7 linked regions of the Oryctolagus cuniculus genome follow. The protein of the gene in region 1 interacts with the protein of each later gene in a pairwise test. Links are inferred from orthologs where the notes say so. Each region holds a gene or a part of one and is shown in the gene's direction. Other genes may lie near its edges.

Region 1 (4,291 bases):
GGGGGCAGGAGGGCAGCGGAGGCTTTGCCTCCGATCTTCGGGACTCAGCACGCCACAGCAGCGGACGCTGGGGTGTCCTTCGGAGCCCAACATACACCTGCCGGCTTGGATTCCGATCCACTTCCAGGGCCTTGTATGGATGGGAAATAGATCATAAAAAGAAATTGATAAATAAATATCACAATGCTATAACATCCACCACTGACTGAGGTAATACTCTTTTTTTTAAAAAAAAAAAAAAGGTTTATTTATTTATTTGAAAGTCAGAGAGACCTCCCATCTGCTGGTTCACTCCTCAAATGGCCACAACGGCCAGAGCTGATCCAATCCAAAGCAAGGAGCCAGGAGCTTCCATCCTCCATCCTCCACTGCCTTCCCAGGCCATAGCAGAGAGCTGGATTGGAAGTGGAGCAGTTGGGATTCGAACCAGCGTCCATATGGGATACTGGCACTGCAGGCCACACACAGCACCAGCCCCCCTCCGCGTTTAAAAGAAATGCCCTTTTTTTTTTGACAGGCAGAGTGGACAGTGAGAGAGAGAGAGAGAGACAGAGAGAAAAGTCTTCCTTTACTGTTGCCCCCCCCCCCCCCAATGCGCCTGGAAAACCACCACCCATCCAGGAAGTCATTTCTTTCTGGAGAGACTCCAGGTCTGGGTATCATCTCTGGTCCCACTCGGGCAGTTCCCACGCGGTTTCTCCCTTCCTGGGGACAAGAACAAGGTAAACCTTCTGGACTGGGTCTCCACCTTGACCGTCTGTGCGTTCCTGTCCTTGCCATGCCTGCACAACCCGAATGTTAGCCAACACGCCGCCAAGGCTGGCAAGCATCCCAGGCCCGCCCGCGCCCCCCGCGCCGCGCTCGGCCGCGGCTGAAAACCCCGCCTGTACTGGGAGTTGAGCCGCGTCTCTCACCCCTGGCCCACGGTCTGGAATAATCTTCCTTGCGGCTTTAACAAGGGTGCGAATTATCTTTTCTTTAACATGAGCTAATTTACTTTTTCTCACAAGGATTCTCCCGGTTCTGCAGGAGCCTGCAGCAGGTCCCATCAGCCGGTCTCCCAGCATCCAAGCCACGCAGGAGGCCACCGCGCCCCCTGCTACAGGAACCCCGAGATCTGGGGTGGGGCCCCACTGCCTGCTGCGCAGCGGCCGCCCGGAGCCCAGAGCGCGTGCGCACAGCCCGACGCCGTCTCCTAGCAACCGGGCGGCGATCACGTGGGCCGCCGGAGCCCGCCTCACGTGGCCCAGAGCCGAGCTGCGATTGGAGGGGCCGCAACGGGCGGGGGCGGGGCCGGGACAGTGGTTCCCCGAGTTCGGATCCCAGGAGGCCCTGCGGCCGCCGCGCAGGTTCCGTCCGCCGGGGTCGTGATGGAGCTGCCTGCCGTGAACCTGAAGGTGGCGACGGGCGGGCGGGGGTGGTGGCGCGAACGGGAGGGGACACGTCCAGGTGAGAGGGCGGTGGGCGACAGGCCCTGGCAGCGGAGGCCGGCCGGGAAGGCGCGAGGGGCAGCCGCGGGCGGCCGGGCCGGACAGGGCAGGGCCGGGGCTCCCTCCCGGAGTCGGGCCTGCGGGCGCGGGAGGCCCGCCAGCCCCGAAGGAGCGGCCGCCGGGAGAGGGGCTCGGCCTTTGCCCAGGAGCCATCTTTACAAGCTAGACCTGGTTAAGACGCTCAGCTGTGGCCAGACGACCGGGCTTTCCCGACCCTGCAACCCAGCGCCGTCGTGTCGTCATCCAGAAACAGGAACTCCAGTGTCGCTTAAAAGCAGAAAATCCCGACTTTGTGATGGGGGGGGGGGTCCTGCGGGGCCTCCTGGGGTGCTGGACCCAGATGCAGCCCAGGGCCTGGGGGCTCCAGCTTTGGCACAAACCGGCTGTTTGGGGTCTCGGTGCTGGCTCCTTTGGGACTGTGTCCAGGAATGCCTCTTTACTCATGAGTGACGAAGCATTTAGCACCATAAGGAATGGAAGACAGGGCTGGCGAGGAAGGATCTGTGCGATCCTTTCTGGGCCAGTACCCACGGGCTGTGCCGGGCCTTGTCCTGGGCAGGGTTCCCTTCCTGGTCACACAGGCCTCGGCCGGGGGGCTGGGCTGGGAGGTTTAGCCAGGAAGAAATTCCCAGCAGGGCCCCTGAGATGGGTCGGGGGCGTGCTCAGTCTGCTGCATGCATCGTGGGGTTAACGCTGGCTGACTTTTCTGCGGTCAGGGATTTGCCTAGAGTGACCGCTGAGAGAGGGTCGGCTGAGGGAAGGAGCTGGGGGCACTGCCAGGGAGGGTTCCTCCTTGGGGTCTGGGGTTTGCCAGGTTGGTTGTTGAATCACAGCCGCCTGAGGAAGCCAGTGCTGTCCTCAGAGGAGCAGGGGCGGCTCACTCAGCCCGTAAATTGCCGTAAATTGCCGAGGCCCCACGAATGTCAGTTTCCGTCTGGATTCTTTGGGGAGAGAGAGAGAGACCGTATTCACATAACTTCAGATGCAGCCTATTTTAATAATTGTTCACTATTATTGTTGTTAATCTCTTATGGTGCCCAGTTTATAAGCTAAGCTTTGTCCTAGGTGTGTATGTAATTGGGCTGGGTGTTGCGCAGGGGGGTGAGCCACCGCTTGGGACACCCACATCCCGTATTGGAGTGACAGTTTGAGTCCCGGCTGCTCCACTTCCTGTCCAACTTCCGTGCTAATGCACCCTTGCAGACAGTGGCTGATGGCTCAAGAGCTCGGGCCCCTGCCACCCACGTGGAATTAAGGGGCCCTGGCTGTGGCCTGGCCCAGCTGTGGGGAGTCAACCAGCAGATGAGAGATCTCTGTCTCTGTCTCTCTCATTGCTCTGCCTTTCACGCAGGTGAAAGTAAATAAACATTAAAAAAATAGCATGGATAGGGTTTGCTACTGTTGTGGTCTCGGGCATCACTGGGGGTCTTGGAACAGATACTGTTTGTGGTCTCGGGCATCGCTGGGGGTCTTGGACAGATCCTTGGCTGGTGAGTTGTGACATATTAACAGATTGAGAATTCACGGTGTGTTTCTGTTTGCTACACCTGGACTGCCCTGTGGGGGGCAGCTGTGAACCCCTTGAGGAAGGCACTTCCCCGGATTTCCTGAGGTCAGAGCTGGGTGCCGGCTCCCTGTGGCCTGCCCCCGCCCCACCCCCGCCATGCATGCAGTCCTTGGGCATTGGCTGAGAGCCTGCTGTGTCCTGCTCGGCCGGAGCGGGCATGAGGCCAGGAGAGAAGACGAGCTGCCCCAGGCCTGTTGCACACAGGGCGGTCCCTCACTGAGCCCCATTCGCGCCTCCTGAGGCGTGCGCTGAGCTGGAGGAATGAGAAAGCTTAGAAAGGACTGGGCTTGGGTTCCTGAGTTCTGGTGAGAGGGGGCGGAGCCAGTGGCCCTGACTTCCAACTGTGGCTGTGTGAGCTGCCGGGTACCTCGGGCCGGTCCCTGGCAGGCGCTGTGTGGACGCTGCACGTGCCTGTCCACCCCATGTACCCTGCATCCAGACGACGACACTGGGACAGGTAGCGCTGTCCCTGCTAAGAAGTCAGGCGACTGAGCCGGGGTCGGGTCTACAGCGTGCCTCCACCCCCGCTCCCAGGCACCGTAGCCACTGCCCATCAGCCTCAGCCCCTGGGATCTCCGTATCTGCTGTAGGGGGTGGCGGGGAGCGTTGCACAGGGCAGGAAGGGACATAGTGCATTGCTCCACCCGCTGCATGGCTGCTGCCCACGGCCTGTCCAGGAAGTCCCCCTCCGCGCCCCTCCTTGGGTCCTCTAGTGGCCAAGAAAGGGATTAAGTCTTGGTCCTCTGCGCCTTGGTTTTCCTTAGCTCCCCCCTCTCCAGGCTACATGGCCACAGCTCCACTGCCCTTCCCCTCCCAGGTCCTGACAGTGCAGCCCAGGGGCAGAGCTCAGGCCTCGGAACAGGCAGGCCGGCATTCGTGGTCAGCCTTGCTACTTCCTGTGTGCCCTTGAATAGGTTCTTAGCCTCTCTGAGTGTCCGTTTCCTCACTGTGAACTCTGCCTTCCGATGGTCCGAGGAGGATCCGTGATTCACGGGCTAGCATAGCGTGGGGTTAAAGGCTCAGACCAGATAGCCCAGTTCTGAGACTGTGTTTGCTCTGTTTATAGCCAACTGCTTCATCTCAAAGCCTCAGCTCTCAGCTGTGCCATTACAGGGATGATGCGGGCCACGTATCCGGGCGGTGCAGACGCCATCACCACAGTTGTTAAATGGAGACACATGGGGACTGTCCAGAGCTTGTTTCACACAGAAAGGGCCCCTGAACCAGGACCCGG
Region 2 (3,773 bases), on another chromosome or scaffold:
ATCTTAGTAAAAACTAAGAATGGGAATAGGAGAGGGAGGAGGAAGAAGGGTGGGAGTAGGTTGGGAGGGGAGTACAGTGGCAAGAATCACTATCACTATGTTCCTAAAGTTCCATTTATGAAATGCATGAAGTTTGTATACCTTAGGTAAATGGTTTCTGGAGGAAAAAAGAAATGAAAAGAAAAAAATCTCAGAAAGATAACATGAATTTTCCATGAATTTTTTAAAACCCTTTTGTATTTATTGTTATTTTCAAGGGCATTAAAAGAGGTCATAGAATTTTTGTTTTTATTTTTTTAGGAACAATGAGGTTTTTTTTTAAAGATTTATTTCTTTACTGATTTATTTGAAAGGCAGAGTTACAGAGATAAGGAGAGACAGAGAGAAGGGCAGAGATATTCTGTCCACTGGTTCAGTCCCCAAATGGTCACAATGACCAGGGCTGGGCCAGGCTGAAGGCAGGAACCAAAACCTTCTTCTGGGTCTCCCACTTGATGCAGGGGCCCGAGGATTTGGGCTGTCTTCTGCTGCTTTCCCAGGCCCATTAGCAGGATGCTGGAATAGAAGAGGTAACCCAGCCAGGGCTCATACTGGATCTCAAATAGGATGCCAGGAAAACTGCAGAAGATAGCCCAAAGGCTTGGGTCCCTACCACCCATGCGGGAGACCCTGATGGAATTCAGTCTCCTGGCTTTGGCCTGGCCCAGCCTTGGCCATTGTGACCAACTGAGGAAGTGAACCAGCGGATGGGAGTTTTCTCTATCTCGCACTCGCACTTGTTTTCTGTCTCTTCCTCTCTGTAACTCTGCCTTTCAAAGAAATAAATCAATGTTTTAAAAGAGAATTGTGGTTTTTTCTAATTTAATAGACTTTTCCTAAGAGCAAGCTTCTTCATGACTTTGAGTTGATGATGGCAGTAATAAAGGCAGTTAATGTTTATTAGAACTCCTTTTGAGCCAGGTGCAGTTTTAAGCACATTACATATTTCAGTTCATTTTATCCTCACACTATACACATAAGATACGCAGTGTTGGTATCCCCATTTGTAGATGAGGAAATTTGCCTCATATTAATGTCAAGTATTTATTAATTTAAGGCTGTTGCATCTCTTCAAGTACTTCTATTTAAAAAATTAGTGAATTTTTTTTGTTAAAAAACATTGTTTTGGAGGTATACAATTTTAAATTTACATGACAGATACTGTTTTTATGTTTTTCAGGTATGCAGTTTTGTGTGGCTATGTATCTGAATTTGAGGGTTTACAAAACAAAATCAACTACGGGCATTGCTTCAAGGTATTTTTGATATTAAAAATGTTTTAATGTAGGTCTATATTTCATTAACAGGTATAAATTAATGCTCTAGAAATGTGTTGTCATTGTTGTTTCAATGAAATGGCACTCCATAAATAGTGCTGTGACAAAAGGAATCAAACTATTTGTGTGGTTAAATATTATTATTACACAGCCTCTAAGAAGTCACATAGTGGATGAGTATTATTTTTTTCGAAGTTGGAGGATTAACCTGTTGGTCACAAGCTCACCAACATCACCCATGTGACTGGGTCTAGTTAGTCAGCAATCTTTCCACATACTTGGTGGGAGGAGTTAAGATCCAATCTAGGGCTAAATTTTCCGTGATAGATGAACAAAATAATAATCCACATACACATCATTTGTCATCTGCTCTAGTTAAAACGCTCAAAAATAAGCCTGCAGGGTCAGTAATTCCAGGAGGATCGAATAGTTCTTTCTTGTTTTCTGGCTGCCTATACCCATTTTGATAATACCAGGGGAATAGTTCCTCTCCCATCTAGGTCCACTAATTTTTCTTCCACTACACCTTGCTCCATGCCATTTGATGTCTGTAAGCTTTCCTCTGAATCAGTACTAGCTAGGTAAGTCATGGGCAGAAAAACTTTAGGTGTTTTCTAATTTCTATAGCAATTTTTTGGCTTTAAATTATACGTAGCTTTATGAAGTCATGATCACAGGTTTGGTCCCGGTTTTGACAGTCACTTTTGAGCACTGAATTATTGAGATTTAATTGTCTCAGTTGTTACGGATTGAGGGTGCTGCAATAACATTGTAAAATCACGTTGTAGTTACTAGGCTTTGGCATGGTTCCATTCAATAATATCTGAACCTTGGGAGATGACTTTTCCTTTGGATGCTTCTTTCAGGAACATTTGGATATAGCAATCCAACTTCTACCTGAAGAACCCTTTTTGTATTACCTCAAGGGAAGATACTGTTATACTGTAAGTATATGCCTTTATTTATAAATCTTATTTGAATATACTGTGATTCACATCTTTAGTGATGTATTTATTCTTTCATTTTTACCCTATACCTACTATAGGGAAAACTATAAAATCAGCCTATGTTTTCTATGAATTTATATGTTTTATAATTTTATATATTATTTAAAAATTGACTATATATTTTATAATTTCCAACTTTGAATATCTTGTGTTATATGCAGTATTTTATATATTTTTTCTTTCTTCTTTCCTTGTATTTTCCTTTTCTTTTGCAGTAGTCAAGTTTGTGGCTCTGGCTACATACTCATTTAAAAGGCTAAAATTTAAAAGATTGAGGTGTTGGCAAGGATATTGAACAGTTGGAACTCTCATATATTCTGGTGGGAATATATGAACAATAAATTAATATAGGAATAAATAACATAGTGATTCTTAAGTATTTACCAAGAGAAACAAAATGCACACTCACTCAATGGTTAGAACATGAATGGTCATGGTCGTGTTGGCAGCACATCACCCTGGGTGACTTTTTAAAGCATTATGCCAAAGAGGCTCACAGAAGACAACATGATGCATATTTCTATTGATATGAAATTCTAGAAAAGGCAAACCACAGTCGTAGGTCAGTCATTGCCTAGGAGTAGGGAAGGGAATTGACTGCAAAGGGGCACAGAGCACTTAGGGGATGAGAGAATAAACTACAGTGTATTTTGATTGTGGTGGTTACATGTTGCATACATTTATCAAAACTTATTTAACTATGCCTGCAATGTGTGAAATTTCACTTTAATGTAGATTATAACCTGATACACCTGAGGAAATAAACACTGTATCATTTTTTACAAAGTTCAAAACCAATCAGAAATAAATATACCAATAGGTGAAATTATGTAAAAGAGCAAGGAAATAATTTTTTGTAAATAGAAAATAATGCATACAATAGGTTTTCAAAATTTAGATGCAAAATTAGGAAATCCATAAATATTTTTCATAATACACATTTTCATGAGCTTTCTAATGACTCCGTATATCCATGAAGTTCAAAAATGTTTTGTACCAAATTTAGCTTATATTTTAATTCCATTCTCCATGAACATTTTGGAGTACCTTCATTTTGGGGGAAAAATGAAAAAAAATTTAGAAGGAAGCAAAAAGTAAATGATGATACAAAATTTGCTTTTGGTGATTATTGGGTAAACAAAAAATCTCCTGGATTCTAAATATGTATGCTGGGTCCTCACGCTATGCTGCCTCTGCTTTGAGGCTCATGGTGCTGTTTACATTTCTGAGTTGCTGCCTCTGTTTCAGAAGACCTGTGAGCAGTGTGGAGTAGGTAGGAAGAGAGCCCAGGCAGGGTCCTGTACCTCCCACACACCGAGCTGAGAAACGCTCTGCAGTCGTCCCAGAATCACCAGTCAGATGAGCAACCACACCTCAGCATCGTTCCCTATCATGCCCCTCTTTCTGGGATTCAACACAGATCTTCTGATGAATATTTCCTTTTTTAGCT
Region 3 (4,373 bases), on another chromosome or scaffold:
TGGAGGCTTAGCCCCACTACACCACAGCGCCAGTCCTGGCCAACTTCTGATCCAGCTCCCTGCTGATGCGCCTGGGTAAGCAGCAGCAGATGGCCCAAGTGTTTGGGCCCCTGCAGACCCAGAAGAAGCTCCAGCCGGCTAGTTGCGGCCACTTGAGGAGTGAATAGATCTCTCTCTGTAACTCTGCCTTTCAAATAAATTAATTAAAAAAGAAAGAAAGAAGCCGTAGGAGGCCAAGCAGCTGGCCCACAGGGACTCGGGGCTCATGCTGGGCTGGTTCCCCTTAACCCTTGCCTCGCAGATGTACGTCCCTGGCAAGCTGCACGACGTGGAGCACGTGCTCATCGACGTGGGCACTGGCTACTACGTGGAGAAGGTGAGTGGGGCGAGGTTGGGGAAGATGCAGAATGTGGTCTAGGGTCTCCGGTTAGCCCCTCGTTCCCCTCTGGTCTTGCAGACAGCTGAGGACGCCAAAGACTTCTTCAAGAGGAAGATAGACTTCCTCACCAAGCAGATGGAGAAGATCCAGCCGGCTCTGCAGGAGAAGCACGCCATGAAGCAGGGTAAGCCCCGCCCAGCCCTGGCGGTGTGGACAGCCGCGGCGCCCCCTCTGCCCAGATCCCCGCGTCGGAAGGCCGTCCCGTCGCGGCTTGGGTACTGCTGGGAGGTGGAGTGAGGTGTAGGTAAAGGAACACACAGCCCGAAGAAGCAGATGCAGGCAACTGAAACCCTGGCTGCCTAGCAGGGTCACCCACTGCAGATCAACCAAACTCCCTGGAGTGGGGTAGGGCTTTGTCCCTGGGACCGGGGTCTCCTCACTCCCAGCCAGGACTGACAGCTGTGCTGACTGGGGCGGCCTTGCCACACGAGAACTTTCTGGTTATCCGCATGCATCGATAGTGTCCATTGTCACCCCAGTGACCGGCGCACTGACCCACACGTGGTGGACTCAAATGTTGAGTGCGCGCCCCCACAACGGCCGCGGGGTCCGAGGTCGCATGACTGCGACCGTAGTCGGTCCCCCAGCCGCACCCGACTCCCGCCTTCTCCCCACAGCTGTCATGGAAATGATGGGCCAGAAGATCCAGCAGCTCACAGCTCTGGGGGCAGCCCAGGCCACGGCCAAGGCCTGATCGCTTCCTGCAGGAGCGATGCCTCGGGGGCCCAGGACTTTGGGGGCCTGGCTGGGGGGGGGCGGGGGCGGGGGACTGGGAGCAGCTCAGGCGGTGCCTCGGGGCCCAGGACTCTGGGGCCTGGCTGGGGGCGGGGTGGGGGAGGGGCTTATGTTTATGTTTAATGTTAATAAATGTGCTGCCATGGCAGAATGTTGAGCTGTTCTTGCATTAAGCGAGGGGCCGGTGGTGCGATGGGAGGGGGCGGTAGTGAGGTGGGCCGCTCCCCAGAGCCCGTCGAGTAGGCGCGAGCGGTTCACCTGCGAGGCTGCACCCCAGACGCGGCGGGGAGCTGCGGACTCGTGGGAACAGCTGGCGAGCGGAAGCGGAACCGCGTGGGCGCTTCCTCTTCCGGGTCGGCTGTCCCCGCCCCCCCGCCGGCGCGGGGAGCTGCATGAGCCGCCGTCTTCTGCGTGGTTTCTTCCCGCTGCTGCCGCCCCTGCGAGCCAGGCGCTGCATGCTGAGCTCGGAGTCCGTCTCGGCCCCCAAGCGCCCGCGTCGCAGCTTCATGGCGCCGCCCCGGATCGGAACGCACAACGGCACCTTCCACTGCGACGAGGCACTGGCGTGCGCCTTGCTTCGCCTGCTCCCGGAGTACCAGGTGCGGGGCCGCGACACCGACCCTGGGACCCGCCCCTTCTAGGAGCCCAGGCAGCCGAGCCGGAGACCCAGCGCCCCCCCGTGCCCGTGCGACCCCCGGCCGCCCCCTCACCGCTGTGCTCTCCGCAGGATGCGGAGATCGTGCGGACGCGCGACCCCGAAAAGCTGGCCTCGTGTGACATCGTGGTGGACGTGGGTGGCGAGTACGACCCGCAGAGACACCGATACGATCATCACCAGAGGTGGGCTCATGGGCGTTCCTGCGGTTACTTTTTCCGGTCTCTCTTTCCTTCGCTCCAGCCTAAAGCTCGGGTTCAGCCGAGCCGCCGCCGCCGTCCTGAGAGCCCAGGGGCAGGGGGCTGGCGGCGGGCACGGCGCTGCTTGGACACCCACGGGCCATTCCGGGAGTGCTCGGGGTCCCTGCCACCCGTGTGGGAGGTCGGTCTGTCCCTGTCTGTGTCTAAGAATTAAAGAGTGGTTGTCCCTGAGGGCCCGTGAAGGTATTCTAAGTCTCTGCTCTTTGCTGTTCAGGCGCGCCCACTTCTTAGCTGCGGCTCAGAATAGCCCGTCTTCGGCCCACCCTCGCTCCTGCAAGCCACTCTGCCAGCCGCTGCTGGACCTGCCCCTACCTGGGAGCGGACCGGGGTCGCCCCTGCCCGTCCTGCCCGCTTGTCTCTCACACGTGGTCTTGCTTGTGTGTTTGAGGTTCACTGGTGTTTGTACAGCGCTCCTAGAATATCTAACGGAACATGAACACCCACAAGCCAGCCTCACAACCTGAGAGCTGAGACGTTACCGTGACCTCCACCTCCGTACCTGTGACCGCCTTCCCTGTCCCCAGCAGCAAAAGATGCCTGAAGTTTGTGTTCGTCACACCCTTGGGGTTTTTTGTTTGGATTTTGTTGTTTTATTTTTCTTTGAAAGACAGAGGCCTTCCCGGAACCACAGGTTCCCTCCTCAGGTGCTCACAGCAGCCAGGACTGAGTCAGGCTGAAGCCAGGGTCTCCCAGGTGGCTGGCAGGGACCCAGTAGGCAAGCCGTCACCTGTCACCTGCTGCCTTCCAGGGTGCGTGTGAGCAGGACGCTGGGTGGGAAGTGGAGCCGACTTGAACCCCGGGTCTCCGATACAGGGTGTGGGCATTCCAGGCAGCACCCTCAGCCCGCACAGCTGCCCACCTGCGTACCCGTGCTGCCGTGTAGGTTCACACAGCTGTGCATCAACGGGGCATGCGGTTTTGCCTCTTTCCCAACTTTGTCTCACCAGTTGTTGTACCGTTTTGTATTTTGTACCTGGTGAATATTATTTTGCATTGACTCAGTCTTTAGTAACAGAACTCATTAAACAGGCATCAGTGAGCTCCCCAGGTGATTGGAAGCTGGACTGGTATTTAGAAATGCCTGCCCTGGCTTCTCCCCTAGCGTCTGTCGCACCCTTTCCCTGTCCACTGCTGTGCGTGTCGTGGCTGCCTGGGTCCCACCCGTGTCACTGCAGTCACCTCCACGCCAGCCAAGCTCCGGCACACACCTGCCCACTTACCGCCCCTCCAGCAGCTCCCCCGCGTCCACGGGAAAAGTCCAGAACACTGCACCCAAGGCCTGCCATGGTCTGGCCCCTACCTGCCCTCCTGCGGTTTTTTATTTTAATGCTTGTTTGTTTTTCATCTGAAAAGCAAAGCAACAGACACAGATCTTCCACCTGCTGGTTCACTCCCCAAATTCCTTCAGCTGCCTGGGCTGGGCCAGGCTGAAGCCAGGAGCCAGGAGCTCTGCGTGGGAGGCAGGGACTCAGTGCTTGTGCTGTGTGCTGCATCCCAAGCGCAGCCTGACCCGCTGCCCGGCTTCCTCTCTGGCCAGTTCCTCGCTACCCCCAAGCGCCACGAGGGACTGGTCTCTCAGCCACCGTCCACGTCGCTCCCTCACCTGGAATGCTTGTTCCTGTGCCCCTCTGTCCAGTAAACCCGCTAACCCAGCCTTGGGGACTGTCCCGCAGGCGCTCCCCTCCCTGCTCCTGTTCAGTTGTAGCCAGAGTGCTCGCTCGCTCGCTCGGACCCTGAAGGAAGGCCAGGTCAGGGTCTTGGTTTTTAGCCTCGCTGTCTCCTGGCATGCAGTTCGCGTCGAATAGACCACTGTGGAATGAATGCGTGACTGGAGATGAAGCCAGCTGGCCCCTGAGGAGACCCAAGCCTTCGCAGACGGGCTTCCTCCCAGCTCCTGCACCAGTCCCCACCCCCGGCGGGCATCTGCTCCACTTCTGCCCGCCTCCCTGTGCCCCTCAGGTCTTTCACGGAGACCATGAGCTCCCTGTGCCCCGGGAAGCCCTGGCAGACCAAGCTGAGCAGCGCGGGCCTCATCTACCTGCACTTCGGGCACAAGCTGCTGGCCCAGCTGCTGGGCACCACTGAGGACAACGACGTGGTGGGCGTCCTCTATGACAAGGTGTGGACCCGAGACAGATGCGGCCCGGCACTCGCCCCGCTGCAGTCAGGCTCACCTCACTGGCCACAGGGACCTGCTTCCTGGGGGCTGAGAGTGGATGCATAACACAGAGAAAGGCTGTGGAAGCCAGCAAGCGGCACTTCCCGGGGTTTTGTTGCTTGTTTT
Region 4 (4,480 bases), on another chromosome or scaffold:
AATCCAGCTCTCTGCTGTGGCCTAGGAAAGTAGTGGAAGATGGCTAAAGCCCTTGGGCCCCTCACCCATGTGAGAGACCTGGAAGAAGCTCCTGGCTCCTGGCTTTGGATCTGCGTGGTTGCGACCGTTGCGGTCATCTTGGGAGTGGACCAGTGTGTGGAAGACTTACTTTATTTCTCTCTCTCTCTCTCTCTCTCCCCCTCAGCCTCTCTGTAACTCTGCCTTTCAAATAAATAAATAAATCTTAAAAAAAAAAAAAAAAAAGAAGCACTGGCAGGGATTTAGTCTCTCTCTCCTTTCAAAACAGTATGAACACACTACCATGTCCCTAAATGACGTTTTCAATTAGGAATGAAATCAATCTTCTGGAAGCGAAGAAGAGTTGGAAGAAATGGAATTTGTATAATCAGTAGTGTTTCAATAGCTTTAAATTAGTTTGAAAGTTTATTTTTAGATTTAAAAAAATCCCCGCCTTCCAACGAACACTTCAAAATCATCAAAGACTGTGCCGCTGCACTTTATACTTGCTAGGAAGGCAGTTTTTAACAAACGACTTTTTGTAAGTTAAAGTTGCAACATCAATCATACATGAGACTGGTGTTGGGGAAAGAAATTCTAAACTGCAGCCAAAAAAAATGCAAATAAAAAAGAAAACCAGCCCTTCCCATCCACTCGGCCTGCAAAGCCTCCCAGGTGGGGTATGGGTCCCCGACAGAAGGTCTCCAAAGGTGCCAGTTTTCAAAGTGCGTATGCCTTAGGTCAAGGCATCCTTCCTCGACATTTGTCAAAAAATTCCCAAGAATTCTGTTTGTCCCGGAGCTGGACAGACACAGGCCTTCTCCCCGCTTTCCCTCTGGGAAGCGAAGGTGGCTGCCTACGGACGCTGCTCCGGACCGGTCCTCCAGGGTCGCACCAGTCCAGCAGCGCGGGACGCACGTGGTGCCTGCAATCGGCTTCAGTTCCCCCCACTACCACCAACCACCGCCGGCCGCCCTGACTAGCGGAGAGCTGCCAGAACCGGAGCTGCACTGGAGCGGACGACCAGTCAAGTAAACTTAGATGGGGACGGGCGAGGGGTCGCGGCCACGCGAGCAGCTCCCTGAGTGACAGGTCGGGCGTGCTGGCCCCATGCAGGCAGGCAGCCGGACACCACCGAACGCCGGGGCTGCGCAACCCCACGTGGGCCCTAGCTTGCTGAAGGCGCCGTCACCCTCCTCCCCACTTCGGGCAGCGCTCACCTCAGCGCTCGCGGCGCCTCCACCTTCAGTTTTTTGGGCTTTGGCTCTTCCTCAGCAGCTGCCATCTTCGCGCTCCCACCCTACTTGGGCTCCACCGACCGCCCCACCCCCTCGGCCCTCTGAGCCCGCCCCCTCCACGCATCACCGCCTTTTTTCTCCAAACCCCGCCCTCCGAAACACCGCCCATTCCATGACTCTCTCACCCACCACCATTGGCTCTACCCCTGTATTGCCCCGCCCCCTCATGGCCCCACCCACTCCACTGTAGGGGACCCGAGACTGAGTTAGGCTGCAGATGAGCGCCTGAGTCCAAACGGTGCGGAATCCCGCCCTTTTCCTAGATCCTAGATGAACTAGCAGACTTAAATCCCAAACATTAAGAAATTTCTTTTCTCTCACCTAACGCCTATCTTGCTATTTAATCTTTCTAATTCGGGAGACCGAGTTTGAGTCTTTGAAGCTGTTAGTCAGGCGATCTTCTGGGCACTCCAACTGCGGGGTCCTCACGGCTTTCTCTGCTGCCTCAGCTTTGGTCCGGAGAGGACCCGGCGCCGAATCAGACTGACTGGCCTGGGTGTCCGGGTGAGTGCGGAGACTGGGGAGTCTGCAGACAGGGGACAGCTGGGTAGTAGGCTGAATGGCTGAGGCTCTGGGCCCCAGGAGCGTCTCTGTTGCTGCGACCTGGAGCCGCACCTCTCTCCGGCTCCCGGCCTTCCGGGCTTTCCTGCCAGCTGGGCCGGAAGAGAAAGATGCACCTGCAGGGCAGTGTTCCCAGGCACAAGGTCCTGCTTGTAGGCGTCCTTCTCCGTGCTCCCGGACGGGAAAAGGGTCTTGTTGCCTCAGGGAGCTGGAGTTCTGACTATTCGAATTAGCCCCAGGGTTCCTTTTTGGATGACAAAACTCCTAATGGCCCTGAGCGGACATCCTGTTAGAGGGTGGAGAATACTAGGAGGATGTTGCCGTTGTTCCGAAGAAAGGTGACTGTGGAAAAGTGGGCAATGTGGCATGTTGGCTTTAGATTCGTTTGCACCTGAATTTACAGCCTATTTGATGAAGAAGGTGATGTCAGTATAAAATTGGGAGCCATCACAAAAGGAGAAGGGGTTGTGTGGAGTTGTGGGATTTATCGAATTGGAAAGAATGTTTTAGGTGGAGATTAGCAGAGATTAATTTTGTGTGCGGAGGGGCGACCTCTGAGAACTAAACTGGGAATTAAGTTTCAGGGTGAGAAACAAAACCATGACATTCCGTAGAGTATGATAAGAAGCCTTTGTGGTGTGTTCAGGAAGGTTATCAGACATGAAATGCTGCAAGAGCCCAAGCAGGAAGCTGAAATCGAAGAGTAAGTAGTAAAGTGTTGAAGGCTAGAGAATCTTTGGGCCGTTTGAGAGAGCTGCTTTAATAATGCAGTGTAGACTAATCCTTCATCATTTGGGGCATGAAGCCCGATTACTCAGAGTGGTGAGATGAAAAGTTTGAATTTGATTGTTTCGAATACAAGACATGTGTTTGGGAGTAGAAAGCAAATAATCAGTGTGCTAGATTAAGGGTTCTAGAAAGAGAAGAGAAAATGCCGGATGAGAAGGAAGAGGATGATATGGTACCAGTGGGTGAATTAATTTTGGAAAGAAAAGGAACTTTTTTTTTACAGATTTATTTATTTATTTGAAAGTCAAAGTTACACAGACAGATAGAGAAAGGTCTTCCATCTGTTGGTTCACTCCCCAATTGGCCACAACTGCCAGAACCGATCCGAAGCCAGGAGCTTCCTCCAAGTCTCCCACGCGGGTGCAGGGTCCCAAGGACCTGGGCCATCTTCTGCTTTCCCAGGCCATAGCAGAGAGCTGGATGGGAAGTGGAGCAGCCAGGACTCGAATCGGCGCCCATATGGGATGCCGGCACTGCCGGCAGCGGCTTTATCTACTGGCTACACCACAGTGCCAGCCCCAGACGTTTTCAAGTCAGACCATAGGAAAAGTGGAGCAAAGGAAGAATTACCTGAAACTTACACATCATCAGTAGGGGAGCTCTCTACAATAAGGATCGTTTTTCTTATCAAGCCTTTCTTATAAACCTTGTGATTTTTACAGTGTTTCTGACTTTTCAACAATATACTAGATATTTTTAAGTAGCTCTGTTTTATCTCAATTCATGAGTAGCAAATGGTATTTTTTTTAATTCTCTATTTTTTCTTTTCTTTAAGATTTATTTATTTATCTATTTGAAAGTCAGAGTTACATAGAAAGAGGAGAGGCAGAGAGAGGCCCTCAATCCGCTGGTTCACTCTCCAATTGGCCACAATTGTCAAGAGCTGCGCCGATCTGAAGCCAGGAGCCAGGTGCTTCCTCTGGGTCTCCCACACGGGTGCAGGGCCCAAGCAATCGGGCCATCTTCTGTTGCTTTCCCAGGCCACAGCAGAGAGCTGGATCAGAAGTGGAAAAGCTGGGACTCAAACCGGTGCCCATATGGGATGCCGGCACTGCAGGCGGTGGCTTTACCTGCTATATCACAGCACTGGCCCCGTAAATGGTATTTTTGGAAAAGAGGCTTTCCATTGCATTATGCAGAGAAAACAGAAGTCATCATTTTCTTGAAACCAAATACAAACTTTCTTCTCTTCTATTTGAAGAGTTAAAAGGGTCCCTTCTCTTTAAATCACATTGACTCCCAATGCCATCCTCTCCCGTGTCCTCAAGGCGTTTCTTTCATTTATTCCCTCACTCCTGCGTCAGCTTTTCCCTCTCTGTCCATACCATCCTTTAAACCTTGAGAAATATTCTTCTTACCTTTCAGGATCTACTCCATTTTTTTTCCTGTCTTCCTTTTCTTCTGAAAGATTTATGTATTTACTTGAAAGGCAGAGAGAGAATGCTAGCTTCCATCTACTGATTCACTCCCCCAAATGACCACGATGACCATGGCTGCGCCAGGCCAAAGCCACGAGGCTGCTTCTGGATAGCAGAAGCCCAAGTACTTCACCATCTTTTTCTGCTTTCCTAGGCACATTAGCAGGGAACTGGATTGGAAATGGAGCAGGCTGGACTCGAACTGGTGCTCATACAGGTTGTCAGCATTGCAGGTGGCAGCTTAACCCACTGCACCACGGTGACAGCCCTTTATTTTCCTGTTTTTCAATTCCCTTTACAGCTGTATCTTTAGAATTTATTCATCTCTCTTTTTTCCTATTTGCTATTTATTTCTCAGGACACTGCAATGCCTTTATTCCAGTTTTCCACTGAACT
Region 5 (4,314 bases), on another chromosome or scaffold:
AAGAATCTATCGTCGACTACGGACTTCTCTCTCGGCTTCCCAGGCCCTCTGTTTTGCACCCTGCTCTCCTGTTCCAACTTGCTGATGTCAAAGTCACGATCCGAATCCTCATCACTGAAGTCGGGGCTTCTCCTCAGGTCAAGTCCGCCGGAGCTGTTAGCTTTCTCATCTCCTTCAGGATCATCTCCGCTCAGGCCGGAGGCTTCCTCCTCCTCCAGGGCTTGTGCTGTCTCCTCCTGGCCATCGGCCTCCCTCTCTGAGCCATCGGCCTCCACCTCTGAGTCATCCACCTCCATCTCTGAGCCATCAGCCTCCACCTCTGAGCCATCAGCCTCCACCTCTGAGCCAGCCTCCTCACACTGCTGGGCCTCGTTCGCTGGGAAAAGACTGATGTCTTCGTCTTTAACTGCTGTACTAACTGCATTTTGGAAGTACTGTAAAATCGGTTCATTCTGCAGTTCCAACTGTTGCCAAATCTGCTCATCATCAAATTTATTTATCACCAGTTTCTGTAAAGGACTCCCATGGGTCCCACCTTTCTCTAGCGTTTTATTGAAGTCATAAAGTACTTTGGTTAAAGAAATGAAGTTGGAGGCCAATTCATCTTGAATCCTATTGGGGGGGGAGTAAATGAGAATTACACACATGCGCAGTGATTTCACAGCACTCCTAAAATAAAGGAAACTCTTCAGCAAAATCAAATTTAAATGCATGTCAATTTTAGATATAGATTCTGGCATCCCAGGCAAATGATGACGGAGAGTCAGATGGTGGAGATTTACGCTGGAGTTAGCCTGGCGAACAGGATAGTAGTTGTCGCACTCAGAATTCAGGCCCGAGGCACAAGTCCCAGGACCGCTGAGGAGCGCGGGGCACAACGCAGAAAGGCCCGGTCGCCAGGGTGGACAGACGAGCCCGAGCTTTCAGTCCAGCGCGCGCACAGGTGAGCGTGGTCTGGGCGCACACGCAGGTGCGCGTCCCGAGGACGCGGCGCTGGCCGCGAGCCGGCCTCTGGTGGGAGCTCACCAGCCCACAACGGAAAAGCCACACCGCGCTGCTTTCCATGTTAAAGTCCTGGCCGGCCGCGCGTGCGGAAACTGTCTGACATTTTGGGAAAAGTGAACCACACTCCCCCTTCACGCAGCTCCGGAACCTTCCGGGGGCCCGAAACCCGAGCCCACGTGAGGCCGTGCCCCGGCTCTGCGAACTTACGTGAGGAAGCGCTCGGGCCGGCCGGTGGCCTTGCTGACCTCCTCCACACAGCGCTGCAGGGTCCGCCGACGCCACACCCGCGGAGCCATCGCCGCCGGCAACTCGCGACACGGCTCCGCGCGTGAAGACTGGAAAGAGCCCCCACCGGAAACCGCGCAGCAAACTCGTGCCTCGCGCAACCCGCAGCTGGCGACCGAAGGTTCCGCGGCACACAAGTTCCCGACCCACCGCTAGCCGGAGCCACAGGCAGCGCGCGAGCTTCCATTGCGCTTGCGCAGGAAGGCGGGCTGGGAAACCGGAAATCGCCCCTGGTAGCGTTCTCTCGGCTTTCTGTTTGGCTTTGCAGTGGGGCCGCAAATGGCGATGCGTCACGGGTTTACGTTTCCGCCTTAGAAGCAGTAGTGCCTCACTGTTCTAGCTTCCTGGATCGTATTATGTTGCCACGCCCCCAGCTCCCCTGTCACCGCCCCTTCGGCCTCGTGCCCCGCCCCCCGGCCGGGGGCCAGTGTTGAGCGGGTCGCTTCCCAAAATGGCGCGCGCGCTGAAGGCGGTGGCGGCGACGGCGCGGGCCGCGAGCGCCGTAGGTGAATACCGGGCGCCTTCGGGCTGCGCCGCGGGGCGGGCGTGCGGACGGGAGCCCAGGGGGCTGAGGAGGCCGCTGGGGGCGCAGCAGGCGGCTCGAGCGCGCTGGGCTCCCCCGGCAGCCCCCAGCGACTGCTCAGCCCGGCACCCGGGTTTCCTCAGCGCTGCCGGCCCGGGAGCTGCGCGCGGATGATTTTGCCCCTTTTTTTATGTTCCGGCCGGAGAGGCGAGGGAACCTGTGCAGGGGGGCAGGAGCGAACGGGAGTGGGGCGACGCGCCCCGAGCGGTGGGGAGAACCCCGAAAGCAGGGCCAGTCCTGCAGACGGTGCATCCCGGCGCGCCCGGGCACCTGCTGGCCACGGCCGGAGGTCAGCGGTGGAAGAATTCCGCACCGTGCAAGAGACGGGCAGGCGGGTAGGGGACATTCCTGGAGTTCTCTGCGCCTCCATTTTTAAAAACTATTTCTTAAGGGCTACACGCTCCTCCTGTGTGTGTCTTTTCCTTCTCTTCTCCCCTTCGTGCGAGGGCGAGCGTTCGTCTGAGATTTCCTGTGAGCAGGAAAGTGCCAGGTGGTAACTACGGGAGCTGCTCCTGGAGGTTTGGGATAAATCCTCCTAGCGCCAAGGGCGTGAGCCTTTGTCAAGGTTGGATTTCTCTGCCCCACCATTGAAACGTGCGGACCTGGTCAGCCTTGGAAGTCCGGGCTCAAACCGCGTCGGCTCCTGGTTGACCTGTGCAGGCGTTTTCCGCAGTCACCACATTCCTTGGTGGGCTCACGTCGCAGGTCACCCAGGTTCAGTGAGAAGCCGCATTCCAAGAAGAGGTGCACCGGAACGGGGTTTAGCTGTCCCAGCGCTGTGGTATCTTACACCTGAGAAATACCATAACACACCGAGCACAGCCTCCGCGAATTTGCGATTCACCGGTGGGCCCCCACCGCTGGTAATAGCACACACCAGCAGCCCTGCCTTCCTGTGCTTGTGAGCTGCAAGTCAGTATCTTAACTCATTCACCATAGCTTTGGCTTTTACTAGGACGCCACAGTACCCCAGGCAAGAGGAAGGTGTATGTAGCTCACTTTGTGGAGTTCAAGTCCAAGACCAAGCAGCACCGTTTTTGGCCTCTGGAGAGCGTGGTAGGTGCCGGTGGTGGGCTCCTGCCGAGGAAGGTGCAGGTCACAGGCCAGGAAGCAGCGCGGTTGGGCACCAGACCAAACCCTCTCTTACAACCCTCTCTGGAGTAGCGTCTTCCCAGGGAAGACGGTGCAGTGGCCTGAGGACTCCCTCCAGGCCCTGCCTCCTCCCATTAGCGCCACCCTGGGAACCGAGCTTCCACACAGGGGCCTGTGGGGGAACATTCAGCACCCAGACTAGATGTCCATGTCACAGCATCTGCCTTGGCAAGTAGCTCTTTGCAAAAAAGAGTCCTCTCTTGTTCTGTCTTGGAAAGCCATCTCTTAGAAAGTAGGAATTGCTCATAGAACACATACAAAGATACTAAAATTTGAGAATCAAAAGAATGGTTCAGGGGCCTGTGTTGTGGCACAGCCAGTAAAGGCGCCACCTCCCAGCATCCCATATGGGTGCCAGCTTGAATCCCGGCTGCTCCACTTCCAATCCAACTCCCTGCTAATAATGTGCCTGGGAAAGCAGTGGAGAATGGCCCAGGTACTTAGGTCCCTGCCCCCACAGGAGATCTGGAGGAAGCTACTGGCTCCAGCCTGGCCCAGTCCCTGGGAGCGACCCAGTAGATGGAAGATCTTTCTCTCTCTCTCTCTCTCTTTGTAACAAACTTTCAAATAAGTAAGTAAGTCTTAAAAAAAAAAAAAAAAAGTGGTTCAGAGGAATGAGCAACGTAAATGTACTGATTTAAAAGCCTCAGCTTTGGTGCCAGACGGTTTGAGGCCCAGCTTCGCCATTTAGCATAATGTTAAGGGACATGACTTAATCTCTGTCAGGCCTTTTCTTTTTTTTTAATCCCTGAAATGGAGGACATAATATCTGACTCAGGGTTGAAGGGTTACACAAAGTTCTTACTGAACTGCTGTCCTTAGTGAGGTCTAGTGGGCAGATAGAGGCTGCTGTATCATGTCTAATGCAGTATTTGAAATTTCACAATTTACTTTGGATTATGGATTTAGGCAAGAGTACGTAGGAGCACTGAAGTATGTATAACTCTAGCAGGAAAATAAACCAATAGGTTTGTCCTGGGAATCTGAGGTCACATTAGTACTATTTTACCCCATGGGACTCTGTCTTGTGCTGATGTTAAGTCCCAGTGGCTGGTAAAACATGGAGAGTGTGTGGAGACTGGTCGGGGTGTATTAGCCTTGAGCATAAAAACCAGCCTGTAGGTTCTTCAAAGGCATGTTTGTTATAAGTGTTATGTCATATTAAAAAGGTCATAAATTAAAACAGCTTTCTAAATATATCTTCTCAAACCAGATATGCAAAAATTCAGACTTAAAAAACTTTTTTCATGTTCTAAAATTAGAGAATGTAAAGGTTGCACAACTTTCCA
Region 6 (3,191 bases), on another chromosome or scaffold:
AAAAACCGGCACTGCTCGGACGAGGCCAGTGGAGATGGGAGGAAACCAAGGATTCGGGCAGTGTGGTTGCCTAGGGAGCCACAGGCAACTCCATCTCCGAGGCCTGATTCTCTGCCTGGCTGTCGCGCCCTTCTCGGTGGGCTCTGTCTGCCTCTCCAGAGGTGTGCGCTCCAGGGGCTCGGAGAACCAGGGCCTCTGTTGGGTTGCAATTCCTACATGGGCAGAGACTTGCTGCACCCAGGTACAGGCAGGCCACCTGGGGACTTGGGGGTGGGGCTGGTGGGGTGCACTTGAGCGTAATAGACCTGGACTTGCAGGTGGTGGAAATGGGCTGGTTAGGTAGGAGTGATGGGGGCTGGGAGGGGGAGAATGAGGGAGAGAGCGGGGGTGGGGCCGAGGCTGGAGAGGAGAGGATAGAACTTACGGGATGAGGACAGGGTTAGGCTTGGAGAGGGAGCTGGGATAAGATGGAGAGGGTTGGTTTTGGGGATGGGTGGGGAGTTAAGTTAGGGGTTGGAGGTGGGGTGAGGACAGTGTTGGGGGTGGTGTTGAACCTATAGCTGGTGTAGGCAGGGATGCTATGTAGATGGGGATGATCTTGAATTTGGGAATGGGGTTGAACTCTGCTCTTTCCACGCTGCTCATGGCAGCTTCGTCTGCCTCCGGGAGCCTGTCCCTGTGGACGTGTCCTTAGGAGCAGCTGCTGTCTTTGCGGCTGAGTGTCTGGGGGCTTGCAAACCAGGCCTCCAACAAGAGAGAAGCTCTGGCCTCCTGGTCCACTCTGGCTCTGCATTCACCAGCTGTCCTGGAGCCGCCAGCCCAGTGAATGGTTACGACTGAGCCCCTTTTCTGGAATGTTCCCTGCTGCCCTAGAGGTTGAGTTGTCCTGGGCTGTGGCACCTGCACCTTACACCTGCTCACAGGCGAGGGGTCACCCAGGTCCTGATGCTGGTGCCGATGACGATGAGTGCTTGGAGGGCTGAGGGTCCCGCCCCGGCGTCCCTGGGACCCTCTCTGGCCCGGGCTCCCACCACCCTAGCCCTGATGAAGAGGCCTACCATGCTGGGGGACCCCGTCCAAGCAGAGCTGCCTCTGGATTCCGTTATCAGTGAGGATGTGGGCAGGACTTCCTCCCCATAAACCTTCCAGAATTGCAGCTTAACAGGGTTTGCCTGTCCCGGGCATAAGCTCCCAAATGGGAAACCCAGGAGCCTTAGCTCTCCCACCTGCCCCTTCCTCCCTTAGGGCCTGGAGTTGGGACTACCCCCCACCCCGCTTCCTCTGGTGGAGACCCTAGAGAGGGGCCCCTCCTGTCCCTGGAGGACAAGTTGCAGAACCACAGGAAAGAGTGACACATCCCCAACTGTCCCCTCTGGCCACATCTCCCCTCCCAGTTAGCTCCTGCCCCAGCCTGATTGGCCATTTCCCACTTCGGAGGCCCTTAGCTTCTCTCTCTCTCTCTCTCACCCCTTCCAGGAAGCCCTGTCTGGTATTGAGGGTTTCTGGGGTGGGACGACCAGAACCTGCGACAAGAGAGGCGAGCTCTAAGCCACCACCCAAACCACCGATCCGACACCCCCAGAGCCCTCCCCCAACCCCGGCTAGGAGGGGAATGGACCGTTGTCTGTGCAACCCAGGAAGGGAGGGTGTGTGAAGAGCTGGCTGCTAGAAACTGTGAAACCAAACCAGCCTCCACACTCCCGACCGCCTGCCGGCTGCCAGTGCTTTCTTGAGCTCTGAGGACCCCCGGGGACTGCGTGCACAGCCCCTCCTCTCTCCAACACCCAACGCGCACCCCATGGAACCCTACCGGAGCCTTGCCCTGCTGGCTGGCTGCCTGGGCCTGGCATGCACAGTGATCGCTCTGAGCACCGATTACTGGTTCGTGGCCGTAGGGCCAATCTCGGCTCACTCAGGGCTGTGGCCCAAAGACCCGCAGGACCCAGTGGCAGGTAAGGGGGCCGGGGCTGTTATGCGGTGGGTCACCGGGAGGTGCGGGCACTAAGTCTTGTCTCTAAGCAGGCTACATCCACGTGACGCAGACCTTCAGTGTCCTGGCTGCCATGTGGGTCCTGGTGGCGGTGGCCTTCCTGGCCCTGTCCTATGTCCGCTCGCTGTCCGCCCTGGGCCGTGGCCACCTCATCTCCACCATCTCAGCCTTTGCTGCAGGTAAGGACTTGGGCCGGACCTGGGTGCCGGGACCCCCTGAGTCCCTGTGCCCAGGCAGAGCTGTCTCTCGCCCACAGCGCTCTCCATGGTCGTGGCCATGGCCGTGTACACCAGCGAGCGGTGGGGCCAGCCTTCACACCCCCAGATCCAGACCTTCTTCTCCTGGTCCTTCTACCTGGGCTGGGTCTCAGCCATCCTCTTGCTGTGGGCAGGTAACCACCCAGCCTTCTGCCCCAGGGACTCTGGGTGGGGAGGACCCAGCTGGGCTGGGGGGGGGGGGGCAAGTGTTTAAAGGCTCTCTGGCACTCCAGGTGCCCTGAGCCTGAGCGCTCTCTGCGGCGTGCGCCGGTCTGGCTATGAAGCCGTGTGAGCAGCAGCAGCGAGCGACGCAGGATCAATTCGGAGCCCGGTTCTCCAAAAGCCTCGCCCGGATTAACGCCTGGCCTCCCCCCAGCCCCCTCCCTTGTCTCTGCATTGATCCAACAAAGATTTGCTGGTTTCTGGCTATTCTGGGGTGAATCCAATCGAGATGTTACCGTAGGTGCTCCTTGAAGGCCGAAGGTGGCCCCCTCCCCTGGAGAAGCCAGGAGTTTTCAGTGAGTGGAGAAGGTAGGGGTGGGCAGTGGGAAATGCAGGTGAGAGGCAGGTGGGAGCCAGGGTCTCTAACACCACGGGAGGGGGTGCTTCGCGGGAGGACAGGGCTGGTCTGGTCAGCGCGGGAGATGAAGGAGCCAGATTGAGAGCGTGGGAGCGGCCGGCGCCGTGGCTCACTAGGCTAATCCTCCGCCTTGCGGCGCCAGCACACCGGGTTCTAGTCCCGGTCGGGGCGCTGGATTCTGTCCCAGTGGCCCCTCTTCCAGGCCAGCTCTCTGCTGTGGTCAGGGAGTGCAGTGGAGGATGGCCCAAATGCTTGGGCCCTGGACCCCATGGGAGACCAGGATAAGTACCTGGCTCCTGCCACCGGATCAGCACAGTGTGCCAGTCACAGCGTGCCTACCACGGCGGCCATTGGAGGGTGAACC
Region 7 (4,246 bases), on another chromosome or scaffold:
AGGGGGTGAACCAACGGAAGGAAGACCTTTCTCTCTGTCTCTCTCACTAACTCTGTCAAATTAAAAAAAAAAAAAAATTACCAAAGTCCTATTGTGTGATCCTTAAAACACACCTGACCTGCTGATCTAAAACGGTCAGCCAGGCTGGGTCCCCGACTCCCCCACCCCAACGAGCGGGGAGAGTGTGCCAAGAGGTAGCTTTAAGAGGCTAGAGGCCAGCAGGCCTGAGCTCAGGCACTGGAGTCGAACTTCTGCACGATCTTATGCCTCGGCCTCTCTGGACCCACTTCCTCATCTGGAAAAAAAGCACCCAGACCAGAGCTCTCAACGCGCCAGTGCGTGTAATGCTCCTCCTAGGGTAATGGTTGCTAACTGGGAGCAGAGGAGTGAGTGAGGGGACAAAGTGGCAGCAGGAAAGCTCCAGGGCTGTGAGCAGAAGTCCAGTCCCAGACAATCTGAGAGGCTTACAAGGGCCACACAAACGCGTGGTCACGGCACCCCAGTATGTCCGTGTGGCCATTCGCAGGGACTTGCTCCAGCCCGGTCAGTGTGTGTCCAGGTCCTGCGGTGCCCAGCAGCCAAGCCTGGGTTCGCCATCAATAGCTTAGAGATCGCCTCTAAAGAACTGTTCATAATTGCTATCGGTCACGGACCTCTTTACAAAGCAGCGCTGCTGTGACAGTGACGAGCACAACTCTGTTCCCTGCGGTCCTGGCCTATTTAAATGTATAAATAACGAGGAGGGAAGTGAAGTTAAACATTATCTAAGGAAGAAAGCCGCCCACGCAGTCCGCCGCCGGCTCAGAAGTCCAGACGAAGCGGAAGCTTGAGAGACTCTGCTCGCCAAAGACCCTGGAGAACGAGATTCGATCCCCCAAACACCCAAGAAGAGCTCCCCCACTATGACTCACCGCGTGAGCCCACTTGCAGCCGCACACTCTCCACAGGCGCAGCCAGCAGAGTGGCGCTAAACCTGAAGATACAAACTCCGCCCTCAGCCAATCAAAACGCTCTCCGCCGCCGCCAGACCAATGAGGAGCGGCGGATGTGACCGCCACGCGTAGGCTCAATGCTTGCCGGGAGTTGTAGTTTAAGAGGCAGAGCGGAACACAGTCTCTGGGGCTCACTGCAGTGATCCCGCCCCCGCAGCTCCTCAGCCAATCGGCAGCTTCAGGCTCGTCGACAGTGTTCTCCGCTTATTCCCCACCGGTGGGGAGACCGGCCGCGGGCCAGATGTGGAGCGGGAGGTCCCGGGCCTTGCTCCGGGTGTGGGAGTTGTGGCCGGCAGGGGTTCCCGGAAGGAGACTGTTAAGCTGCAATGCTGCGTCGCAGGCGAGAAGTAATTCGCCCGGATGTTGGAACTGCGGTGTACCGGGGGCCCCTGGGCTGGGGGACGGGTTCTTCTGCCCGCAGTGCCGCGCGCTGCAGCCACCTGACCGAGCTCGAGACTACTTCAGCCTCATGGATTGGTACGGGAGGCGGTTTTGGGAAATGCATGGCGGAGAGAGGCGCCAGGGGCTGGCCTGCGAGCGTGGAGGGCGGGCCAGGCGTGGGAAGGACAGGACGGGACCGGGAAGACCGGTGGGCGGAGCCCGGAAAGTGGGGTTTGTGGGGTGTCCTGAGAGAGAGGAAGGGGCGTTGAGGGGTGGAGCCGGAGTGGGCAGGGGGCTGGATGGGCGGGGACGGGGAGGCGACGGGGTGGGGGGAGACCCTGGGGCGGCCCCTGCGGGAGAGGGAAGCGGGCGAGGGGCGGATCTTGGGGGCGGGGAGACCTGAGGGGAAGCTGGGGTGGGACGTGTAGGTGAGGAGTGGGCGGAGAACTTCACATCGTGGGCAAGGCCTAGGGGGAACGTGGATCTTGGAAGAAGAGGGTTTTCCGCCCTGGGGGTGGGGAGATGTGGGCACAGCTGAGCTGGTGAGGAAATAGGGCCGGCTCTGGGAGTAGAAAGCCGAAGGGATTTGGATTAAAAAGGAGCCAGGGACGAAGGTCCCCGGGCTTTAGAAGAACAGGGTGGGGTTTGGGGATGCCTGGTCACCCTCCTCTGGGATCTACCGCCACCGGTCACTGAGTGCTTAGGATGGGCCGTAGCAGCACTGCCCTCGAAGTTCCTCGGCCTGCGACTATACTTGCCCGCCCGGGTCTTTGCGCTTGGGTGTCGCTCCCCTGATCTCGGATTACTCATCATCATCCTCATCATCATCATCGTGTTCAGGTTGAGGCTCAGCTCAGAGGGCCCTGGCGTCTACCACCCTTGCTGACCCCCTGTTCTTTTCCCTTTTAGCACTTAGCTTTTTTTTTTTTTTTTTTTTTTTTTTTGACAGGCAGAGTGGACAGTGAGAGAGAGAGACAGAGAGAAAGGTCTTCCTTTGCCGTTGGTTCACCCTCCAATGGCCGCCACGGCCGGCGCAGCGCACTGATCCAAAGCCGGGAGCCAGGTGCTTCTCCTGGTCTCCTATGGGGTGCAGGGCCCAAGCACTTGGGCCATCCTCCACTGCACTCCCGGGCCACAGCAGAGAGCTGGCCTGGAAGAGGGGCAACCCGGACAGAATCCGGCGCCCCAACCGGGACTAGAACCCGGTGTGCCGGCGCCGCAAGGTGGAGGATTAGCCTAGTGAGCCTCGGCGCCGGCTGAGCACTTAGCTATTTTTAAAGTGATCTCCATCTCTGCGCTTCTTGCATTTTCCCCCAAGAGCAGGAACCAGGCCAACAGGAGAGAAATCTATCATTTTGTGTTGTGTGGATTTCATCTCCAATTTCCTTCCAGCAACCGTTCCTTCAGAGTTGATACCACGAAGCTCCAGCGCAGGTACCAGGAGCTGCAGCGACTTGTCCACCCAGATTTCTTCAGCCAGAGGTCTCAGGTAGCTCATTGGACATCTCCAGTGATCCCCAAACAAGTGTGCACACAGGATGGGTGGCAGTGACCTGTGGTTATTCAGTTTACAGGGATAGAGCTGAACAAACAGTTCCACTCTGTGGCAGCTTGACCCAGCCAGCTAAGCCCCTGGAGCTGTCACTCAGAACTTTTTTTCTGACTTCCCAACCAACTTAGAACCCATCAGTGGAAAATAAAGATACCTGATCTGACCCCCCCTCCAATGGCCGCTGCGGCCGGCGCACCGCACTGATCCGAAGGCAGGAGCCAGGTGCTTCTCCTGGTCTCCCATGGGGTGCAGGGCCCAAGCACTTGGGCCATCCTCCACTGCACTCCCGGGCCACAGCAGAGAGCTGGCCTGGAAGAGGGGCAACCGGGACAGAATCCGGCGCCCCGACCGGTACAAGAACCCAGTGTGCCGGCGCCACAGGCGGAGGATTAGCCTAGTGAGCCGCGGCACCAGCCACCTGATCTGACCCCAATTATTTTTTTTAACATTTAGTTAATATTCCTTTTTTCTCTCTCTCTTTTTAAGGATGTATTTATTTATTTATTTCACAGACAAAGTTATAGAGAGAGGAAGAGACAGAGATAGCTTCCCTCTGCAGATTCACTCCCTAAATGGTTATAACGGCCAGGGCTTTGCCGGCCAAATCCAAGAGCGAGGATCTTCTTCCGGGTCTCCCACATGGGCGCAGGGACCCAAACATTTGGGCCATCCTCCACTGCTTTGTCCAGGCACATTAGCAGGGACCTGGATCAGAAATGGATCAGGGGCTGGCACGGTGGCATAACATGCTGATGGCCAGGCACCTAAGTAAACAAAAAACTGGAACTGCTTTTGGGGGCTGACATGTGGCGTAGGGGGTTACGGTGCTGCCTGCCATGACAGCATCCCATGTAGGTGCCAGTTCAAGTCCTGGCTGGTCCATTTCTTTTCTTTTTCTTTCTTTCAAGATTTATTTAATTATTTGAAAGTCAGAGATATGCAAAGAGAGGTCTTCCATCTGCTGGATCACTCCCCAATTGGCCGCAACAGCTGGAGCTGCGCTGATCTGAAGCCAGGAGCTTCTTCGGGCCTGCAGTGCCGGCATCCCATATAGGCGCTGATTCAAGCCCCAGCTGCTCCACTTCCGATCCAGCTCTGTGCTGTGGCCTGGGAAAGTAGTAGAAGATGGCCCAAGTCCTTGGGCCCCAGCACCTGCATGGGAGGCCCGGAAGAAGATCAGTGGAAGAAGATCAGCGCAGCTCCAGCTGTTGTGGCCAGTTGGGGAGTGATCCAGCAGATGGAAGACCTCTCCCTCTCTCTCTGCGTAAATCTGACTCTCAAATAATTTAAAAAATCTTAAAAAAAAAAAAAAAAAAAAAAA

What was found.
Region 2: the proteins of AGTRAP (region 1) and RMDN2 interact in binary tests that used the Homo sapiens proteins (3 or more experiments, as listed by UniProt). The two-hybrid records come from large-scale screens. The link is inferred for Oryctolagus cuniculus from reciprocal best matches to the Homo sapiens genes AGTRAP and RMDN2.
Region 3: the proteins of AGTRAP (region 1) and MYG1 interact in binary tests that used the Homo sapiens proteins (3 or more experiments, as listed by UniProt). The two-hybrid records come from large-scale screens. The link is inferred for Oryctolagus cuniculus from reciprocal best matches to the Homo sapiens genes AGTRAP and MYG1.
Region 4: the proteins of AGTRAP (region 1) and AP3M1 interact in binary tests that used the Homo sapiens proteins (3 or more experiments, as listed by UniProt). The two-hybrid records come from large-scale screens. The link is inferred for Oryctolagus cuniculus from reciprocal best matches to the Homo sapiens genes AGTRAP and AP3M1.
Region 5: the proteins of AGTRAP (region 1) and MCEE interact in binary tests that used the Homo sapiens proteins (3 or more experiments, as listed by UniProt). The two-hybrid records come from large-scale screens. The link is inferred for Oryctolagus cuniculus from reciprocal best matches to the Homo sapiens genes AGTRAP and MCEE.
Region 6: the proteins of AGTRAP (region 1) and NKG7 interact in binary tests that used the Homo sapiens proteins (3 or more experiments, as listed by UniProt). The two-hybrid records come from large-scale screens. The link is inferred for Oryctolagus cuniculus from reciprocal best matches to the Homo sapiens genes AGTRAP and NKG7.
Region 7: the proteins of AGTRAP (region 1) and HSCB interact in binary tests that used the Homo sapiens proteins (3 or more experiments, as listed by UniProt). The two-hybrid records come from large-scale screens. The link is inferred for Oryctolagus cuniculus from reciprocal best matches to the Homo sapiens genes AGTRAP and HSCB.

Annotation. Positions count from the first base shown.
Region 1 is NC_091438.1:156,703,726-156,708,016, reverse strand, and holds the start of AGTRAP (type-1 angiotensin II receptor-associated protein), read left to right. Parts: upstream 1-1,278; 5' UTR 1,279-1,370; coding exon 1,371-1,397; intron 1,398-4,291. UniProt on the Homo sapiens protein: Appears to be a negative regulator of type-1 angiotensin II receptor-mediated signaling by regulating receptor internalization as well as mechanism of receptor desensitization such as phosphorylation.
Region 2 is NC_091433.1:164,777,453-164,781,225, reverse strand, and holds part of RMDN2 (regulator of microtubule dynamics protein 2), read left to right. Parts: intron 1-1,219; coding exon 1,220-1,295; intron 1,296-2,182; coding exon 2,183-2,260; intron 2,261-3,773.
Region 3 is NC_091442.1:56,310,981-56,315,353, forward strand, and holds the start of MYG1 (MYG1 exonuclease), read left to right. Parts: upstream 1-1,517; 5' UTR 1,518-1,566; coding exon 1,567-1,773; intron 1,774-1,901; coding exon 1,902-2,014; intron 2,015-4,048; coding exon 4,049-4,208; intron 4,209-4,373. Other genes in the region: PFDN5 (prefoldin subunit 5), read left to right, coding at 302-376, 458-563, 1,057-1,133. UniProt on the Homo sapiens protein: 3'-5' RNA exonuclease which cleaves in situ on specific transcripts in both nucleus and mitochondrion. Involved in regulating spatially segregated organellar RNA processing, acts as a coordinator of nucleo-mitochondrial crosstalk.
Region 4 is NC_091446.1:65,204,640-65,209,119, reverse strand, and holds the start of AP3M1 (AP-3 complex subunit mu-1), read left to right. Parts: upstream 1-1,494; 5' UTR 1,495-1,820; intron 1,821-4,480. Other genes in the region: ADK (adenosine kinase), read right to left, coding at 1,239-1,303. UniProt on the Homo sapiens protein: Part of the AP-3 complex, an adaptor-related complex which is not clathrin-associated. The complex is associated with the Golgi region as well as more peripheral structures.
Region 5 is NC_091443.1:11,955,565-11,959,878, reverse strand, and holds the start of MCEE (methylmalonyl-CoA epimerase, mitochondrial), read left to right. Parts: upstream 1-1,501; 5' UTR 1,502-1,741; coding exon 1,742-1,796; intron 1,797-4,314. Other genes in the region: MPHOSPH10 (U3 small nucleolar ribonucleoprotein protein MPP10), read right to left, coding at 1-612, 1,213-1,301. UniProt on the Homo sapiens protein: Methylmalonyl-CoA epimerase involved in propionyl-CoA metabolism.
Region 6 is NC_091449.1:6,943,354-6,946,544, forward strand, and holds NKG7 (protein NKG7), read left to right. Parts: upstream 1-1,525; 5' UTR 1,526-1,798; coding exon 1,799-1,952; intron 1,953-2,022; coding exon 2,023-2,169; intron 2,170-2,246; coding exon 2,247-2,381; intron 2,382-2,480; coding exon 2,481-2,539; 3' UTR 2,540-2,676; downstream 2,677-3,191.
Region 7 is NC_091452.1:22,178,247-22,182,492, forward strand, and holds the start of HSCB (iron-sulfur cluster co-chaperone protein HscB), read left to right. Parts: upstream 1-1,233; coding exon 1,234-1,469; intron 1,470-1,513; exon of another isoform or gene 1,514-1,581; intron 1,582-2,765; coding exon 2,766-2,862; intron 2,863-4,246.